Linked DNA regions of Neodiprion lecontei. The protein of the gene in region 2 interacts with the protein of the main gene of each other region in a pairwise test. Links are inferred from orthologs where the notes say so. Each region holds a gene or a part of one and is shown on either strand. Other genes may lie near its edges. The genes, in order: histone H4 transcription factor and transcription initiation factor IIA subunit 1.

Region 1 (8,835 bases), on a different chromosome or scaffold from region 2:
AAGAACCGACGTACTACTTTGACAGCCAGACCTAACCTAATCTGGAGATCGAAAATTAACTACCGTTTGCTTATCCATTAGGAGCACTTTCATACCAGGACCGCTCTCTTCGGTCATTTTGGTGATGTAAAGCTTTAAAGCCGAAAACACGTTCATTTTCGATGGATTTTTATCAATTATACTACATTAAGGTTAAGGTGCACATAATCCACGACTTCGTGACACACAATCACTTGGTACCCTTGGTACGAATAAGAGGTAGTCCGGCGTCCAACTGCCCTGCTCCCTGTGTTGAGCTCTGTGATTATTATGCCTTAGTACGACGGAAATCCGCCAGGTACCTCATGCGTCGGTGAGGATGAGGTAAACAATAATGGCGGCGATCTAGCAGACAGTATTCACGAAAGTTTGACGTTTGCATGTGGAAAATCCATAGACATGGAAAATCAAAGCTGCTGCTGAAGATTACATGAATACATTAATATTTGACAAAATAAAATAATTGTATGATGAATGTATGTGACTATAGCGACAATATATTAGTGAAAATGAAATGTATGATGAATCGAAAGACCAAAGATTAAATAAAATTCCATTGATATGCTTTCTTGATAAAGAGAAAACGGTAATCACATTGAATCAATCATGCAAAGGATGCACAATAATAAATCTGTGGGTGGTTATTGACTGGTTGCACTTACTTAAGGTGGCTCCGACAACACGGCAAAAAATGTATCAAATCATGAAATTTGACGCGTAAGAAAAAATTGAAGTGAATTAATTTTGCTAGCAATTTTTTTTTTGGAATAGAAAAACTTGTAACGTTGACTGACGGTGTAAAAAATGAGGTTGTCTAGTAGATCCAATGTATTTTATCGGGCTTTCGATTCCAGAGTGTTTCAAATCACTAAAGTGTCGCAATCAGAATTTGAAGCTAAAAAGAGCAGCTTAGCGATATCAGGCGAAATCAATACCGCATTCGTACTTAGTTAGGACTTATTTCTAAACGATTTGACTCTTGTGATTCTAGACTTTGAAAAACTGCCAGTGATATTCATATAGCATACTTCTTTGATTTAATAGTATATTTATGGTTGCAGATAAATAAAATAGGCTTATTCGTCACATCTCACCCCACACTACATTAATTTGAATCCAGGAATAGGATTTTACAATTATTCATTTATCTCTAGATAAAAATTACATTAGTAAGTATCTCGTTTACCTGGTTAAACAATTGAGTTCGCCTTTTGCTTATCGAGTAAGAACTGGTTCCCTTATCTCTCTCAGCATTTATGAATTTTTACAAGTATATTGCCGTGTCTTAATTCACCTGAACCACTTACACACTTGCATACTCACGACGAAACAGTGATTCGTCACAATCATGCAAGTAAGCCCACTGACCCACTGAGTACTCAGGTGTAAGTGCCTTGGGCAAATTAAGACACGGCATGTCTCAAAACAAACGTCACAAATATTGATGGGAAAAAATTGTTTTGATTGTTGCTTTTAGAATTCTGAAGATTCATTATTGTAACTTGATACAAAATTTAGTAAAGTATTTTATTGCTTTGACAACATAGGTATGTATCTACATGTAAAACGAAGAGGTGATCTCTACTTTATTATTATTGGCGGTTCTGCAGATGGAGGTAGCTCATTGGTCTCCTGAGTTTCGACAACTCTACTTTCGATAATATTCCCATCTTCATCAACTTCGTCAATCCATATCAAAATATTTGAAACAATAGGCATCGATTTGCCAGTCTCGTTAGCAGCTTCATGTTTGGACATTTTGAGGTAATCAGAATTGAGACTTTTCTCCACCTCTTCTGTTATCTATAAAATCGGATACAATTTCTCAGTAAAATGGATATAAATTTATTAAAAACATTGATAGATTTACAACTCACATATCGAAAGATAGAAGTAATACCATGAATGATTGAAAATATATACCTTCAACTTTGGTACAGAAGAACCAGCCGATAGCTCCAATAAGTAATTCTTTTCCTTTGGTGCGGACTCTCCTGTCATTTTGACAGTATCCTCATCCAAGGTTTCATAACGCACAACTTGCAGTCGATAGCAGCCATCCTCATCTTTCTTATAACGAAACCGTTTGTGCCCGTTTGGCCATTGCAAGTGATGAGTTTCAATCAAATGCTTGGTAAGACGATAGCTCTTACGGTATTTTACTGGACATTCGTGGCAACAATAAAATCTGAGGAATTTTGAATGCACACGTTCCATATGTCTAGTGAGACAAAAACAAAATCTCAAATGAACAAACCAACTTTTAAATGTACAGAAGGAAATGAAAGTATCATGGGCAATTAATTAAAGTGTACATTGTTTCAGGCATTGTTAATGAACTTCGCTTTCTTTCTAATTTTAAAATAACAGTCCAAGCACAAGAATACCTGTCCATCATGTATGAGTTTTTGCATCCATAGGAACAACCATCTACAGTACAGATGAAATTCGGTCCTCTTGTATGAACTGCCATGTGTGAATCCAAGTCTTGCTCAGATTTAGCTGCATGTGTGCACAGCTGACATTTGAATGGTCTGCTGGATATATGGCGATATCTTATGTGTTTTGCCAAACTTGCCGGTGACTCGCAACTCATATCGCACATAGTGCATTTATAATGAAATACATGGAAATGCATGTGATTTCTCAGTATACTTTCTGTTGGGTAATACTTGTTGCAGTGTGAACATTGAAAGCCTTGCACTGCAGCAGAATACAAATATAATAATAAAAATTTTGAAGTACTGATAACGGGTTTCAAATAAATAAATCACACAGTCGGATTTGATAGGATTGTAAATATTGTCAAAAATTTCCCCATACATTGGTGTTATCATTACTTACGATCCAAAGGAATCTGGCGTTTGCAGTGATCATGAAATTTGGTATTGGAAGCAAATGTAGCACCGCAATCTGGGCAAGCAACCATCTTCTCCTTTGTGTGACATCTGACGTGCTCTCGAAGCTTGTACAAACTTTTGTAGTTACCATTACAACCTGTCCATAGACAATTTACTCCTCCCTCTACCTTATTTCCACGTGGATTAGTTTCAATGTGTGTAACAACATGCCACAAGTAGGCCTGGTAGTTATTGAAAGATTTTAGGCATTCTTCCCAACTGCAGATCTGAGGCAATGGCTGGTCAATCACATTTTTCAAACCCTGGTCTTGGTAACATTTCTAAAAAAATAATTTCAAATAGTTTTATATGAAATGTGAATGTATTAATTTCAAACGCAATTTAAAGCGCATTTAAGTAAACTCATTTCACAAAATATTACTGAACGAATTCTTTTGAATGATTTATGTATGTAAGCACATGTATTTTTCTGACACAGGCATGAAAAAGTCACTTTTTGATGCCTGTATAACATTCGGCGAGTGGTACTTTATACCACCAACCTCAGAACTATAGTATGAAGACTTTATACTGCAGTTTTGATGGGTAGTTCAAAGTGCATATGTTGAACTGCCATATAACAGACTTTATACGGCAATTCTGAGTCTGTTGCTCTGTCTGAAATATGGATCTCAACTGGTGTCAAAATAACTTTTCATGCTTTTCTGGAAAAATATTGTATGGAGCGTGACCATAAAGTGTTTTTCACTCGAATAATGAATTAAGTATTTTTGCCCGGTAACCACCTACTTTACGGGGATGCCACCTAAAGTACTATTATGTATTTGAATAAAATTCGTCATGATCTATGCTTTCTCACTTCACTATGTAAACAAGAACAGTTACTGCAATTTGTAAAATTCACTGCCATGAACCATTTCTCACCAATGAAACAACTGGTTTTCATGAACGCTAACTCTATTACTTATATTTTTACAATCAAAGTAGAAAACGTACAGATTAAGTTCTTAGATAATGCTGCAAATGATATTGTCAATTTTGCAAGTTGCTTGAATAGTTAATTACAGTTTAGTTGGGAACTTTACAACTAAACAAGTGTAGCATGATCAAAATTATTATAAGACAAGCAAAATAATAAAATTATATTCACAGGCAATTTAACTCTTCCTCTGATGTTAGATCCAATACATTTCAACTTTGTATGATAGGAGTGATAATTAACGTGTTTGGCTATATCGTCAGAAATATCAGATTCGAAGGAACAGCCATTCCACAGACACGCATAAACTTCCCGACCTTCTTCTGTAGTAACGATCTTGAGCTGCGGAATGTGGTTGGAAACATGTTTGACAAAAATATCAAGAGAATTGGTGTCAAACAAACAATCCTTCCATTCGCACAGCAAATTCAAAACCTCATCTTTCACTTGTTTCAACACCCTGCGTCTTTTAGTTCCGCATTCAGAAACTGAGTCAAATTCCGAGTCAGTATCAAAGAACTCTTCTGGTTCGGTGTCTAATTTTCTTTTCAAGACATTATCCTCGGAGTATAAAAGCTCTTGCTGAGATTCCACCCAGCCATGGCATCTGTTTTGCAATTCTTTACTTGACACCAACTCTTTTTCGCTCATAGTCATTGCATAAAATTTATTAAGATATATGAATAATCATATATAAAGACTAGAGGGCGTGACAGCAAATATTTAACGAGTGATAAATTCAATGATCAAACCGCGATATATTTCATTTTACCGCCAATTTTGGTCCTGTAACAAAAATTATTGTCGATTAGTTCAGATTGTAATTATTTGCTAACCAATGAAACACGAGTAGAACCGAAAATAGAAGAACCGAGAGTCCAAGGACATTAAGAATCGCCCAGTAAGAAATATCGAATAAATCCTACAATCAAGTTCGATATTTGTTCGCTATTGTGAAACAATTGAAAATATTAAAAATATAAATAATACGCGTTGTTGGTCACACAACTAGACGTAAGCTTTGTGGGTAGGTGTATGCATGTCCTCCACCATGACAGTTTTTAGCAGTGTAAGATCGTCCCATATTTGTTGGATTTAATCGTTCTATTTACAGTTTACCATTATTAACGATACTCACGAAGTACTTTTCAAATCTGGTTACATCGCAATCAACGTATAAAAATCCTTAGAGCATCAGAATACTGTAAATATCCATTCATAAAGATGCTCGCGCGATGCCTAACTCCACGCTTCATGATTTCGCCAGAGACTGCCGGAGTATTTTTCTTCAACAGACGGTGGAATGGAAATTCAACAATTTTTGCGCTCTCTTCTGGTTAACAATTGATCTACATATTTAATTCACCCAAAACGAAGTGCAATTCATGAAAATCTAGTATTTCTAAAACTATTTGTTGAAAATTACGAAATATGCAAGTTCCGAAATAAATTTGCGTAGCTCAACGAATACAGAACACTAACTTGAATTTTAAAGTCATTCATTAAGGGTTTAACTTAATTTTAAGTTGCCCTCTGGTTATTCCATAAAGCAGGAAAATACGCAGTGCTTAGTAATTTCGAATATTTTATTTAAAGTAAAATAAAAATAAAAAAAAAATTATTATTTAAGGGCACGGGAAATGCGGTGTTGCTGTAATAAGGATATCAGGAAGTCAGGCAATTGATGCCTTGAAGCAAATGACAAACATAACGAAACTTGAACCCAGAAAAGCTTTTCTTCGAAATATCTGCGATCCAGATACAAGGGAAGTTATAGACAAGGGTTTATGTCTTTGGTTTCCAGGTAGCTACTTATTATAGATAGTTTTTGTGAAATAATTATCACACGCAATAGAATTGAATTTGATAAAACATTAACTTTATAGGACCTAATTCTTTCACTGGAGAGGACAGTGTAGAATTCCAGATACACGGCGGCTCTGCTGTAATTGCAGCTGTATCAGCTGCTCTTTCAAAATTGAAATTTGCCCATGCTTTACCAGGTGAATTTACAAGGCGAGCATTCTATAACAACAAGTTGGACCTGACTGAAATTGAAGGGTTGGCTGATCTGATCCATGCAGAGACAGAACTGCAGAGAAAACAAGCATATCTACAAGTTGATGGAAGTTTGAGCAAATTGTACAATAAGTGGAGGAAAACACTTTTACAATCTATTGCACATGTCGAGGCTTACATTGATTTTAGCGAAGATGACAACATAGAAGCTGACATTATGGACAAATGCAATAATGTATTAAAAGTTCTAAATCAGGAAATAAAACGTCACCTTTCAGATGGTAGAAAAGGAGAGATATTACGTGAAGGTGTGCGAACTGTAATTCTTGGGGAACCAAATGTTGGGAAAAGTAGTTTACTGAATTATCTTGTTCAACGAGAAGCTGCAATAGTTACGCCTATTCCTGGAACAACAAGGGACATTGTTGAATTAAATTTAAATATATTCGATTATCCTGTGATTTTAGCTGATACTGCCGGTCTAAGAAAAGAAACGACAGACATTGTTGAGATAGAGGGTATACATAGAGCAAAGAATTATACTAAGGGGGCTGATTTTGTAATTCTATTGGCTAATTCGGTTTCGTATTTAAGAAGTAAGAAGAAGTACGACGAATTTATCATTGACTACGTCGAACGACTAGGGTTAAATGATTTGTTACTGAATAATGGAAAGGTGATGGATCACTGTATAGTAGTAATGAATAAAATAGACTTGTTGGAGCCCCAAGAAAGAGATTCGCTGTTAAAAGATGACAGGACAATATTTATTTCCTGTGCCAGAGAAGAGGGCCTCCAAAAATTCTCGAAACGTGTTGCCATACATTTAAAAAATTTGTGAGTATTGACCGGCTAAATAATCATTTATTTGATACTCTGTATTGAAACCGATCATTGATCTTTTTCTCATGTACTGTATGATAGTTAAACTTTTCATTTTGCAGATGTGGTAATCCGTGTCGTGAAAACCCTACTGTCAGTCAAACTAGGCACAGAATACATTTGACAAATTGTTCTGAACATATAGATAATTACTTCGACCTTATAAAGAGTGAGGAAAGGGACATCGTTTTAGCTGCACAAGAAATACGAAACGCTATGCGAGAACTCGGTTTAATTACGGGATACGTTAGCGTAGAACAAATTCTCGATGTAATATTCAAAGATTTTTGTATTGGCAAATAAATATACCACATTCTAGATTATCTTAATAGTGTACATTTTGTAACCATTCGTTTATTCAAATTCAATTTACCGCTATTATCCGAAAGTCGTCGATTGGCCAATGGCAGCGATAAAAGAAACGTCCATTCCTTACAATACTTCCGGCCAGCCATTTCTTTCAACGTGCGTCGTTGTATCGTGAGGTGCGTTGTTTTTGGAATCGCGATATATCTCTCGAATCTGTACACATCATCCGTACCGTTGCATATAATTGTTTTTGTAAATGATTCAGCTACTTCATTCATTACATATTTTCATGAAATTGTACTTTTCTCAGCATTTGCGACAGTGATAACATAACCTCTAATAATTGTATTTTAACAACAGGATGGCACCAAGGTACGAATTGGCCGTCGGCCTCAAGAAGGGTCACAAAACCACGAAGATACGTGTCGCTAAAAACAAATCTGAAAAAGAAAAGACCGTTACCATCCGCCCAGCTAGGCTCAAGGGCGTAAGTGTCAATTTGTTTTGTACATAACCTCAGTATCGCGTTGCATTCAATTGGAGAAAAATTTCTCGATCCAAATGCATAACAGTTTGATTTTATTTTTAAAAATTATTTCATTAATTGCCACAATCATTATTTTTGATCTTGTATGTATCACCGTTTCTGCATAGCGTCAAACAAAGCACAGCAAATTTGTACGTGACTTGATACGAGAGGTAACTGGACATGCTCCATATGAAAAACGCGCCATGGAATTACTGAAGGTGTCTAAAGACAAACGAGCTCTGAAATTCTTGAAGAGAAGGGTAAGTTACTTTAATGTTCCAGATTCCCTGTTACCAAAGCATTCTTATCGCAGTTCTTTATGAGGCGGAGGTTAGTAACTTTATTCAAATAATTTACTTTCCGGAAAAATCCATATATCACAATTGCAGAGATATCTAAAATGCAGTAAATCATAATAAGGCAAAACTTATTCATCTTTTAAAGACTCATCTACTTCAAAGTCACTATAAATTTGCAAAATAGTAATTTGTCTCCTGAATGTTTCATTACGTTACCGATATTAACTTCAGCCTTATAGTTCTTTTTGTTGCATCTAAAAAAACATGACAATCATTTTCTTGCCACTACTGAGTTATTTATGAAAATAAACGGAGTTGCAGAACATTTCAATGCTTAGATATAACCGACAAAGAAACAATTTGAATTGGAATATCTCCTACATACCAGACCATAGTAGTTTAGTATTGTATGGGAGGAACTGAGTTGAAATCCCCAGACTATCAGGGAGGATCTAAGCAATACCTCGCGAAAATTATAAGATGGGTCACATCACATAGGCGCTAAATTAGCAGGTTGAGGTTTTAACTCGGTTCGGCTACACCTGGGCAAGGTTTTTTTTTTGTAGTTTTCCTTGTCCCTTGTGCGTATATGGATGTTTCTACTGAACATCTTAAGACAGCTGCAGTTAGATAATAATGGTCACTAATTCATTCCTTCTTTTGCTCCGCATAAGTCTCCTGTACACTTCTGGAGACATACTCTATCAGTCTTGGCGGGTAATGGCAGTGATTATTATTATTATTATATAATGCACAGTAATTGCAACTTCTACCTCTTTGTACATTCCTAAAGTTCTTGACGAGCAAATGAGAAAAACCCAGGCACAATTACCTACATTTTGGGAAAAACATAAATATCAGTATGATTTGAATTTGTGCAAACATAGTAATACAGCTTGAAATACTAGATTATTTATC
Region 2 (10,526 bases):
AATTATTTTTTTCACAAAAGAATACCTGCGAATCAGATATTTTGATCACACATTATAGTGTAATAGCAGAAAAGCCTGACAATCGAAGATTAAGTATAAGTTGAATATAAACGTCAGATTTATGATTGAACCTCTTTTAGCAGTCATAATTACTATTAGTTTTACCTGTTCGCCAAAGAAGCATAAATTTACAAAATATGTCAATGTAATATAATACGTTGAAGCCAACCAAGTGTAAATTAATCTTATAAATCGAGATATGACAACATTGAAAGTAATAAAAAATCGTATTAAATCAGTGTCAAATACTAAGAAGATAACACAGTCAATGAAAATTGTCTCTACCTCAAAGTTTGTTCGAGCTGAACAAGAACTTGAAAATGCCAGATCCTTGGGGAAAGGACAAAAAATTTTTTATGAAGAAATTGGAGTGAATCTTCCTGTAGAAATCGGCTCTCAGTTGATTGTTGCCTTAACATCTGACAACGGATTATGCGGAGCTATTCACTCTGGGATAGCAAGAGTAATTAATTCAAGTCTTGTCAACAATCTAAGCTTAGCGTCAAAAAGTAGACTGGTATGTGTCGGTCAGTATTCTGTGTCTATTTTTTCGAAAACATTACCGGAAAAGCTTATTTGGACAGCAAAAGATGTTGGAAAAAAAAATATCAATTTTTTGGATGCATCAGTTATTGCCATGAAAATAAATGAATGCAACACCAAAAGTAATTATACAGTGACTAAAGTGCATTACAACCAATGTCTATCCCGCATGTCATATAAGGTAGACGTTACGGATTTATATAACAAAACTGCAGTATATGCAGGAAGAAACTTTGCAATATACGATGAAATAGAGCAAGAAATTTTAGAAAGCTACTTGGAGTTCTCTTACGTAGTACTTATATACTGGATGATGAAAGAAGGAGCCTGCAGTGAGCTCGCAGCTCGAATCGTGGCCATGGAAAATGCTACAAAAAATGCCACAAAAATATCAGAAGCGTTGAAACGTGAGTTCAATCGTACACGTCAAACTGCAATCACTAATGAACTTATAGACATCATCTCAGGAGCAAATGCTGTTGCTAAATGATGCATCTCAGTGCATACCTGACAAAATGAAGATTTCAAGGAGGAGTCGGGGAAACAGAGTGTTAACATGAGTGTTATTTCATAATTTGTAGCTATAAATCGGAGCAAAACAGATTAGTTAAGCATATACAACTAATGTAGTAATACTTCTATGATAAATGTTCACTGTGAGTAAACGATTTTATTCTATTCTAAATGATTACTTTAGAAATAGTTGCTGGTAATCTGATATGGTACCGTGATATCTGCCAGTATAGGTTCATCATTTGCAAAACAATATTATAGACTTCTATTTTCAAACTTCAGTTTGACGTTGAGTTCAAATAGATTTTTCGTGGGTAACTGATACGTTTGTGGTAGCAAAAATGAAAATATTTAGTTTAGAAGATGATTTGATTCAAATAAAATCGATTCATGGGTATAAAATTTTACGATTGACAAATATAATCTACAGTAATAGACCCTCTTTATTTAAAATACTTTTACAAATGTAGGTATACATGTATGCAGCATAAGACACTTTTATTCTTCTAAGAATTTTCAAATACACTATACGTACACACAACACTATTCAACTGATTTATATACATATGTATCAATGAAAAGTATTGAAACCGCAGTTGTTAAGCAGTGATAATTTGCATTCAATTATGGATTCTTTTTTTTACTAATGAATTGAGCATTTGAAAATCTACAGTATATAAATCATTCGTTTCATGAACTTACAGAATTTTCATTCTAAGTTGTTTGCTTCTTCAGATGAAGTAAAATACTCAACCATTGATGGTTTTCAAATATACCTATTAAATCTTCATTCTATACCTATTTCACATGTAACTTTAAAATATTTTTCCAACTAGTTTTGGATTATGCTCGATTCTTTATTCGAAATGAATTGCAAAAACGTTTTTATTACAATACAGTTGAAGAATTATATAAGAATTACATAGTTGAATAAATTCAAGTATAGATTCTTGTGCACTCGACTACTTAAGTCCCAGCATCAGTTTCTTTAATTTAATTTATACATAAGTCTGACCCATTTTATGAATCTAATGAAATATGAACTAATTTATGAACTCGGGAATAATTTACTATTATACTTCGTTTCGATAATCACTTTTCCACAACATTTGACAATATATTTACATCCCAGGTAATTATAACAAAAATTATGAGCATATCATTTGCTTAATAGTCTGTTTCACATTTAAATTCAACTCCCACACGCCACTTTACCCATAGGCACTTTACTTCAAATAATCCATGATTTAATAATATTCACGAGAATCAACAAAATTTGTAAGTGAGCGTACACTCAAACTCCTTAACCATTTTGCAATTTCATTTGTAAATCAACCAGATATTTAGATTAGAGCACAGTCTTTGTGAAAGTATACAGTATAATCAAAAATTAAAACTTAATCTCCTAATTACTAACCTGTATTTTGTCTTAAAATTTACAACTACACTGGTGATTCACTTTCAAAATTATTATTCCCAAAGCATATTAACCTTTTCAGGACGGGAATTTTTACGTTGAAATCGACCTTTTATTTTACACGAAATTTGTGTATAATATCAATGAATTTCTCACGTGGAGTATCCGACCAACCCAGTGGTCGAAATTTCGACCAGTCCCGTCCTTAAAAGGTTAAACTGGCCCATCGTTTAGTAGACCATTTAAGCATGTATTATTTAGTATCCGTGTTCCAAGTGAAATAGGCATAATAATTCTTCATTCTATGTTATATTAGATTTACGCAGAGAATAAATTCAGAAAATTATTTATAAATCGCAATTTTGGAATTACATAAAATCTATCTTATGATAAGATTTACAAATGCGTACAAAAGTAAAAACAAGTCTATTCCAGTCGCAATATTATTGAAATTTGGCAGTTCCTCTTGTAAGTGAGTAAGGGTCAAGAATTATAAATTCAAAACGGAATTAATCGGTATCAGATGAATAAAAATCATGTTACAACTATCACTTCTATCTTGCAATGCAGTTCCATGCGATTTATAAAATTAGAGTATACTTTATTACCGTTTCCAAGTCTACTTATATATACCACAACAAAACATCCCTGAGTAAGTTAACTGAATTCCCTTATATTATATTCTGTCAAAACCAGTGCAGTGATATTTGCGAAAGATTTTATTTACAAAAATTAAAAGCAAGAATTTAGATAATACCTAACAGTACGGATTTAGATATAGGTATATATATATATATATTATTTTTATAATCAAAAAATACAAGAGTTTGAATTTTGTCCACAAGACCGTAAAACATCCAATTGCTTAATAACAAATTTTATATTACCTGATATTACATGTATCATTTTAAATGAGTAATGGTAATTGGTTTATAATGCTTATTAATACTATTATGATTTTGAAGTAACTGTGAATGATTAATTCATAACAATGTGATTCACAGGACTGCACAAAAGATATAAGAGACGAGGAAAGAAGAATAGGTTTTTTATTGTTAAAAGAAAAGTAGCAGTGGGCCCCTTACCATTCTGCATCCCCATTAGCTTTTTGGAAAACATAGTCTTTCCCACTTAGATTCATTATGCCGTCTTTTAAATAGAATTTCCACTTATTTCTGCTCCTTGTGATCTAAAATGCAGTAAAATTCCAAATATATTAATTATTACTGTCCAAATAGTAGGCACAAACGAAATGGTCAAGTATAACAACCAAAGTACCAACCTTATCGTACTGACAGACAACTACATTATCCGTATCAAACAAATCTGTTGGATCATCATCAGTAACATCATCTTCAGAATTCAGTGGTTCCTGAAATAATGCGCACACATGAACGTCAATAATTCCGAATACTAAATAAAGATATAATCTCTAGTACAAAACACTTAAACGTAAAGCAGAACGTATATGAAACATTCTAGAAATATCATATGCATTATCCAAATAGGAAGATAATTACACGACGTTAAATCTGAAAAAATATTACCTCCTCACGTGCAGCAGCGTCATCATTTTCTTCTTCTTCTCTATCATCAAGATCTTCATCATCATCATCATTATCTTCTTCTTCCTCATCATCGTCTTCATCAGACGTATCAACCACAGGCCCATCCAATTGAGCTATGTTACCCTGTCATCAATGGAATAGGAATGTAAGAAATATACAGGGTGACCTACGACTATCACTCCACAAGCTATCAATGTGAAAGTCTGCGACTGAAACGTTTTTATTTCTAATAGGAAACTTGTTGTTCGCGAATTACGTTTGAAATTAGCCAGTCCGGTAGTATTTGATCGCTTAGGACAGCTGTGGAGCACATGGCTATCCACCAGCCCTGATCTAAACCATCAGATGATACCGGTTTGGCCATTTTCAAACAACTGTAAATCGCAAACGACAATCTGTCAGTGAGAAATAACAAACGTTTCAGTCGTAGATTTTCACGAGGAATACATAGTGAGCTTATGGGGTGATAGTGCTACGTCACCCTGTATTTAGTAGCTATGATTACGCGGGAAAGACCAACTTCAAGTATGCTGTCATTGTCATTGATTCCTAAAATTTGTGAAAAACAAGTTTTATGTAAAGTCAATTATCTATTGCATAACCTTTGAAGTACTGACGAAGTAAAGTGATGACGAATCAAGAATCGGAATATATTTAACTTTTGAGCCTACTGACGGAAAAGGCATTAATTGTGAAAGAGACGAAATATTCAACGTATACAATATTTATTCTAGAACAACTCAAAACAAATTAAAAGAAATTTAACCATTCCGTAAACATATACTCGTACCTGACTTTGGGCAGTTCGCTGTGTCGTTACACTGTTTGTATTCTGTGTTACAACAGTTGGTTGGGCTAGTTGAATAGGCGCAAGCGTAGGTTGTCCTTGAAGCGTAGCATTTACATGTTGTTGCAACAATGTTGATGCCAGGTTCGCAGGGAGTCCCATTGCAGCAGTAATTACAGGACCAGTTAAAATAGTATGTAATTGGTTACCTGTAACAAAAATGTCTGTGACTACCAAAGCTTTTTATCTTGCACAAAAACAGATATCCAAATATTTTGGCAATTTTTATTCGCATTACAATTGCAATAACAAGATCAATAATACTTGAATCTATGTTTCAATGATTAGCAGAATTTTGCGAAAATATAGCTCCAAAAAAATGGGTCCTCGAAGACCCCACGTGCTCACTAGCGCTAAGAAACCTGACGTCCATAATGAAGAGTTAAAGTGCATAAATGTAGCTACTTGTACCATTAAGACATCAATTTCATCCATACGAACACTGTCAAAATAGGGCAAGATTTTCGAAATTTTAATTTTATTTTTTAAGTAGACTTTGCATTCTAGGAAATCATTTAAATGTGCTTTGGACAGTAAAAATATTTTTCAGCAAGCTATTTCGTAATCCGGTAACTTATGGGTTAAAACTGTAGTAGGATATGTTATTTTACCTTGAATCGCTGAGGCTGGGACTTGTATTGTGAGAACTCGGGGCTGAGCATCGGGCTGACCAGCTTGTGCAGGAAGAGTGATTTGAATTGGGACTTGTCTGTCCAAAACTGCAGCAGGAGCAGTAACTACCTGCTGCGCAATACCACTTGATTGTTGTTGCACAGGATGGCCCGCTTGCTGTGCATGTTGCTGCTGTTGTTGCTGTTGTTGTTGTTGCTGTTGTTGCTGCTGTTGTTGCTGTTGTTGTTGTTGTTGTTGTTGTTGTTGTTGTTGTTGTTGTTGTTGCTGCTGCTGCTGTTGCTGTACTGCAGCTGCAGTTGACGGTTGTTGCACAAAATGATTTCCAGCAATTCCAGCTGTAAAAATGAGAGCCAACATTAAATATCAATGTTTACTGATTTCAATACAATCTGAAAAATACGTACTAAATTTTGTACATATAGAATAATTAAATAGCAAACATCAAGAAAATATTGATCAGTCACGTCTAGACATTACTATCATATGTAATATACGTGCGGATTTCGCCAGATGTGGATTCTTTTTTTCTGTATAAAACTATTCACTTTAGAGGTTCAAAGTGTATTTTGATTCTGCGAGTATGTACATGTGATTGTGATAATTGAAAAAATTTGAGCGCATGGAGTCTTAAAAAAACACAACTTGCAATAAAATTCAAAATCTCTTGTACGGAGTAGAATACAGCTTGAATAGCATGCAAAGTGCGGTAAAATTTTTTCACATATAAAGCTGTATCCTGTTTTGGAATACTTCAAAAAGTGAGCAATAACATATGACTACAGCCATCAAATATTACAAAATTGTTACCTTTATTTGTTGCCGCTGTCTTGTGGGTGGTAAGCTGAGGAGGCTGGGGCTCTGGTGGATCTGGGTTCACCTCGAACGTTTTACTGGACATTAATTTTGTCTCCCATATTTGTTTCAACTCCTGTAATACTTGCTCATCTACACCCTCATCTAAAAATGATTCACGCACGCCAGCTATGACATCTTCGATGACTGTGTTGTATAACTTCAACTGAAACCAAAATACCATTTTACTCACTTTTGTGCTGTGTAAAAATATTACTGAAGTAACGTCCACCTTATGTCGTATTAGATGGCCGTTGACAAAAAAGTGGATGAATCTGCATATTTCTTTTTAACTTCTAGGTAAAATGTCACAGTTGTAAAATGTGTTTTTCTTGCTTCTTTCTGAAGTATAAGCATTGCTGAATTATGTTTTTAGAAAAACACTTCTCTAGCTAGCTAGAAAGGTTTTATATGTGAGGCGAAAATAGCATACGAGTTGGAATTGCAATACTTTGTTGCCTCTTAAAGAATTCTATTCAATTAAAAAAGAAATAAAATCATCATCAAAATAATATCGACGGGTATTTAATATTTTGTTACTTACGTTAAGTATGACAACAATATTATTTTCTCTTGTAATTGTGTAATCAATGAACATTTCGTTGAACATGTCGTGTAACACGTTACGCATACGTGTCGAGGGCGATAAAGATATCCTCATGTTTTGAAGGTGAAAATAACGATAAACGTTTATTATAAATATTTTTATTTAACGATGTTTCGAGCGACTTCATTTTTCAAGTAACGAGTCAAATGTTACTTCAAAACAGAGTACAACAGTCACAAAGGCATTAAGATAGCGAAGATTACACTATTGACAGATCGTCCAAGGCCTTCAGCAAGTTAATATTACCGAAAGCAAGACGTAAATACATACATACGGCTCGTTAAGCACGATGCTTTGTTTCCTGTATTTTTCATTAGCATATTATTTTCGTGGTTTTTCTTTATTACTCACCACGCTAGTTTGACTCAGGGCCATTATGGGATAATTCGTATTATCAATCAATAGAACAACAATACGAATAATCCTAAATCAATGCCCGCTTCTGAGAAGCCGACCTGCCGCGTTGCTCGAGCTCTTTTATACTTTCTCAACAGCTCCCATTCCACCCTATGGCTCAACTACGTCGATCAACATAACTACTCTCGTGATTTTAGCCTTATGTACAGCTTACTGTGATATGAAGGAATATAACCTAAAAAATTGCAATGATAGTTTTTACTACGGTAAAACTAATCGATTTACGCATAACGTAATTTTTTGAGCCTAGTTTACGGTTCGACAAGGTGAAAGTTATAATGGAAGTGACTACGTTCAATAGTTATCATAGGAGTTCCTGAATACGTCAAAATGAAGCAGCCATTCTGCTTTATACTGGACGTATTCCGAAATGTGTGCTAGCGGTGCTAGCACGTCCGACATTTCGAGACGTAATGAAATGAGTTGGGCTCGGAATTGCCTCAGGTATCAGTGTCGAAATTGTGGAGATTTCTTGACCTGGTAACGTCGGACTTCAACCTGTTTACCCTTCTTACATCGTGAATCGGACACAAAATGTATGTCCGTTCCGCAATGACAGATCGCGGATATTCATTCTTGTTACGGAACGACCATTCCGAAATGTCCACGTGCTACTTGCTAGCAAGATGCTAGCACACATACTGGAATACATCCACTGCATAAGCGATTTATTGGACAAAACAGTGGACAAATTATACTCCAGTTCTATGCCGATTGCCGAAATTTGGATCGTCAGATAGAAATTGTTGCGAGCAGGGAATCCCCGGGGTTATAAGAATAAGCAGTGTAATACACGCTTTAATAATTTATTCAGACGATAAAACGAGAGGCAATGACTTCGGATGCCGGTTGGGTTCAGAATCAAAAGTTTTTCATCGGAATAATTACCGCCCCACATTCTGATTTGCTCAAACATTTCCATAATATACTTTGGATGTAACGCAGGTTTCTCTCTGGTAACGCATGGTATTGTACCTAGTTGGCTGTAGGCAGCAGATTATTCTTGAACCGTGGTTCGTTGGAGTTACGATGACCATCGGAGTTTGGCGCGTGCGCTTAATTTTTCGTAGATCTGTCAACGTAACGTGTGAAACTCATGTGTATAAAACCGAGTGATTAACCCGAATATGACCGGATGAAATGACATAAGTGTTTTTTAAGCGTTTTATGTCATTTTTACGCAAATGCGGTAGTGCCGTACAATGCTTTAACCGAAGGTACAACTAATATAGTGTAGCGAATCAGCTGTTGTCCGGTCGAGATGAGCGCGGAACATCGCTTTCAGATTAAAGAGTATCTGAGTTCGGAGGATCAATACGTCGGATACTCGGGTCCATGCGATGCGTTGTTCAAGAATGATGTATATTAAGAAGCGATATTAATCTTACCGAAAGCAATTTTGTTACAACTCTAAAATGGGGACGAAATTTGCTGCATGTGCGTATAATCGTTCTATGTTATATCGAATTTTCCAAGTATTTCATGATCATGTTCATTCTTGCAATTAATAGTTTCAACAGATTCATTTAAACGTACAACGTAAACACAAAACCAATTTAAGGTACAAATATCCTTACACATGAACTGTACTGTAATTTTAGTGCTATTTTACAGACACACTAAAGCTCTCGAGTCTTCACGATTACCATCAAAGACTCCTACACGCGATTCAGCCAACTCCCTCAGGATTCGACATGACTAATACCATAAAATACTTTTCTCAAACATTGCTTTGTAAGTATACCCCCGTTGGTCGAATGTTGTACAAGTTTGAACTTTCATTGTTCATACCAATATTTGCTATCGATTTCAGCCCTCCTCAAAGACGTTCCTGATTCTCCGTTAGAAATGATAAAATCACAAGAGTTTGATTCACAGAGAATGGCACTGTATCCAAACTTGGATTATAAACAGCTCTACAATGCAGTGATGCAGCTCATGGATGTTGTTCCTCTGGTACACATTGGTCTGCAATGTTAGTAAAAGTCATATCATGTCAATTTACCTCGTAACAACAGGTCATTTGCTATTGAACTATGAAAGTATAACCACTTACTCATTTATTTTCTATTGAAATATCACCGTAATATCTATGAAAGCATGGTGGAATATTTATAATTCAAACGTGCTAAAAAATAAATTGATATATATCTCTACTGATTTGTGTTTAACAGCATTTGGCCAGGCAATACTGCAATGCTTGTGTTGTTTATTGCCATTTTTGGAACATGATCTTGTAGACAACTTGCCATATCTAACAGCAAGTGCTATATCCGTTCTACCAGTTGAACTGCATCAGGAGATTGTGAATTACCTCTGTTTCTATATTCTACCCTTCACAATTAGTAAGTCTTTTTACCTGTAATCTGCTTCACACGGACAAAAATAATTCGATAGACCAGTAATTCTTGGTGTTAATGTAATGACAGCAAGAATCTTAGCTGTCGATGCAAAAACTTTCACTGTGTCAGTGAAGCTTCTGCAAGTATAGCCAAGTGGAGTTCCAATGTAACAAACTAGTTAGTTAAAGTTGCAAAATTCTTGCTATTGCAACAAATTTTCTTGCTGTGACAATCTTAATACTAAAATTTGCCGATCCAACAAATTATGTTTTTCCACACAGAAATAACAAAATCTTATTTCTAATCTGTGAAAATTTATCCTTTTGTAATACCTTTGTAAAATTCGACATACTACACCAGTACTTCCATTTCAAGTAATTTTGAAGAATTTCCATATCGATAATGTAGCAGGCTGCAAAACTTTAGAGCTAATGTACTCAAAATTCACTGGAAAAAGTTGATGTTTTCAATAGTTTAGCTGATTAATCCGATTTTATTTAGCACGCAAAATTGAAGATGGAACAGAAAACTATGCTAGTCAATCTGTTTCTGCTGTCATCATGACGGTGTTCCAGTACTCAAATAATCCTGGTGAGTACTTTCCAAAATTATAGGATTTTATCAAATTTTAGGTCTAATACCGAATGCTTACTTAACGTAAATGCATAGTAGTATTCAAACTCATAGATTTACTTATGAAATAGGAATATGAACTGAGATATTAGGA

The links.
Region 1: the proteins of transcription initiation factor IIA subunit 1 (region 2) and histone H4 transcription factor interact in a two-hybrid assay, tested with the Drosophila melanogaster proteins (2 studies listed by BioGRID). The link is inferred for Neodiprion lecontei from reciprocal best matches to the Drosophila melanogaster genes TfIIA-L and Hinfp.

The regions. Positions count from the first base shown.
Region 1 is NC_060265.1:18,711,716-18,720,550, reverse strand, and holds histone H4 transcription factor, read right to left. Parts: upstream 5,104-8,835; 5' UTR 5,018-5,103; intron 4,907-5,017; exon of another isoform or gene 4,727-4,906; intron 4,666-4,726; 5' UTR 4,537-4,665; coding exon 4,051-4,536; intron 3,221-4,050; coding exon 2,884-3,220; intron 2,743-2,883; coding exon 2,427-2,742; intron 2,261-2,426; coding exon 1,963-2,260; intron 1,843-1,962; coding exon 1,621-1,842; 3' UTR 1,318-1,620; downstream 1-1,317. Other genes in the region: vacuolar protein sorting-associated protein 45, read right to left, coding at 64-156; tRNA modification GTPase GTPBP3, mitochondrial, read left to right, coding at 5,104-5,215, 5,510-5,683, 5,766-6,735, 6,843-7,083; 60S ribosomal protein L36, read left to right, coding at 7,451-7,576, 7,744-7,878.
Region 2 is NC_060263.1:28,726,603-28,737,128, forward strand, and holds transcription initiation factor IIA subunit 1, read right to left. Parts: upstream 7,304-10,526; 5' UTR 7,095-7,303; coding exon 6,978-7,094; intron 6,600-6,977; coding exon 6,389-6,599; intron 5,917-6,388; coding exon 5,560-5,916; intron 5,098-5,559; coding exon 4,892-5,097; intron 4,225-4,891; coding exon 4,081-4,224; intron 3,906-4,080; coding exon 3,816-3,905; intron 3,723-3,815; coding exon 3,615-3,722; 3' UTR 1,438-3,614; downstream 1-1,437. Other genes in the region: protein unc-79 homolog, read left to right, coding at 8,873-8,894, 9,072-9,191, 9,271-9,432, 9,632-9,802, 10,301-10,390. UniProt on the Drosophila melanogaster protein: TFIIA is a component of the transcription machinery of RNA polymerase II and plays an important role in transcriptional activation. TFIIA in a complex with TBP mediates transcriptional activity.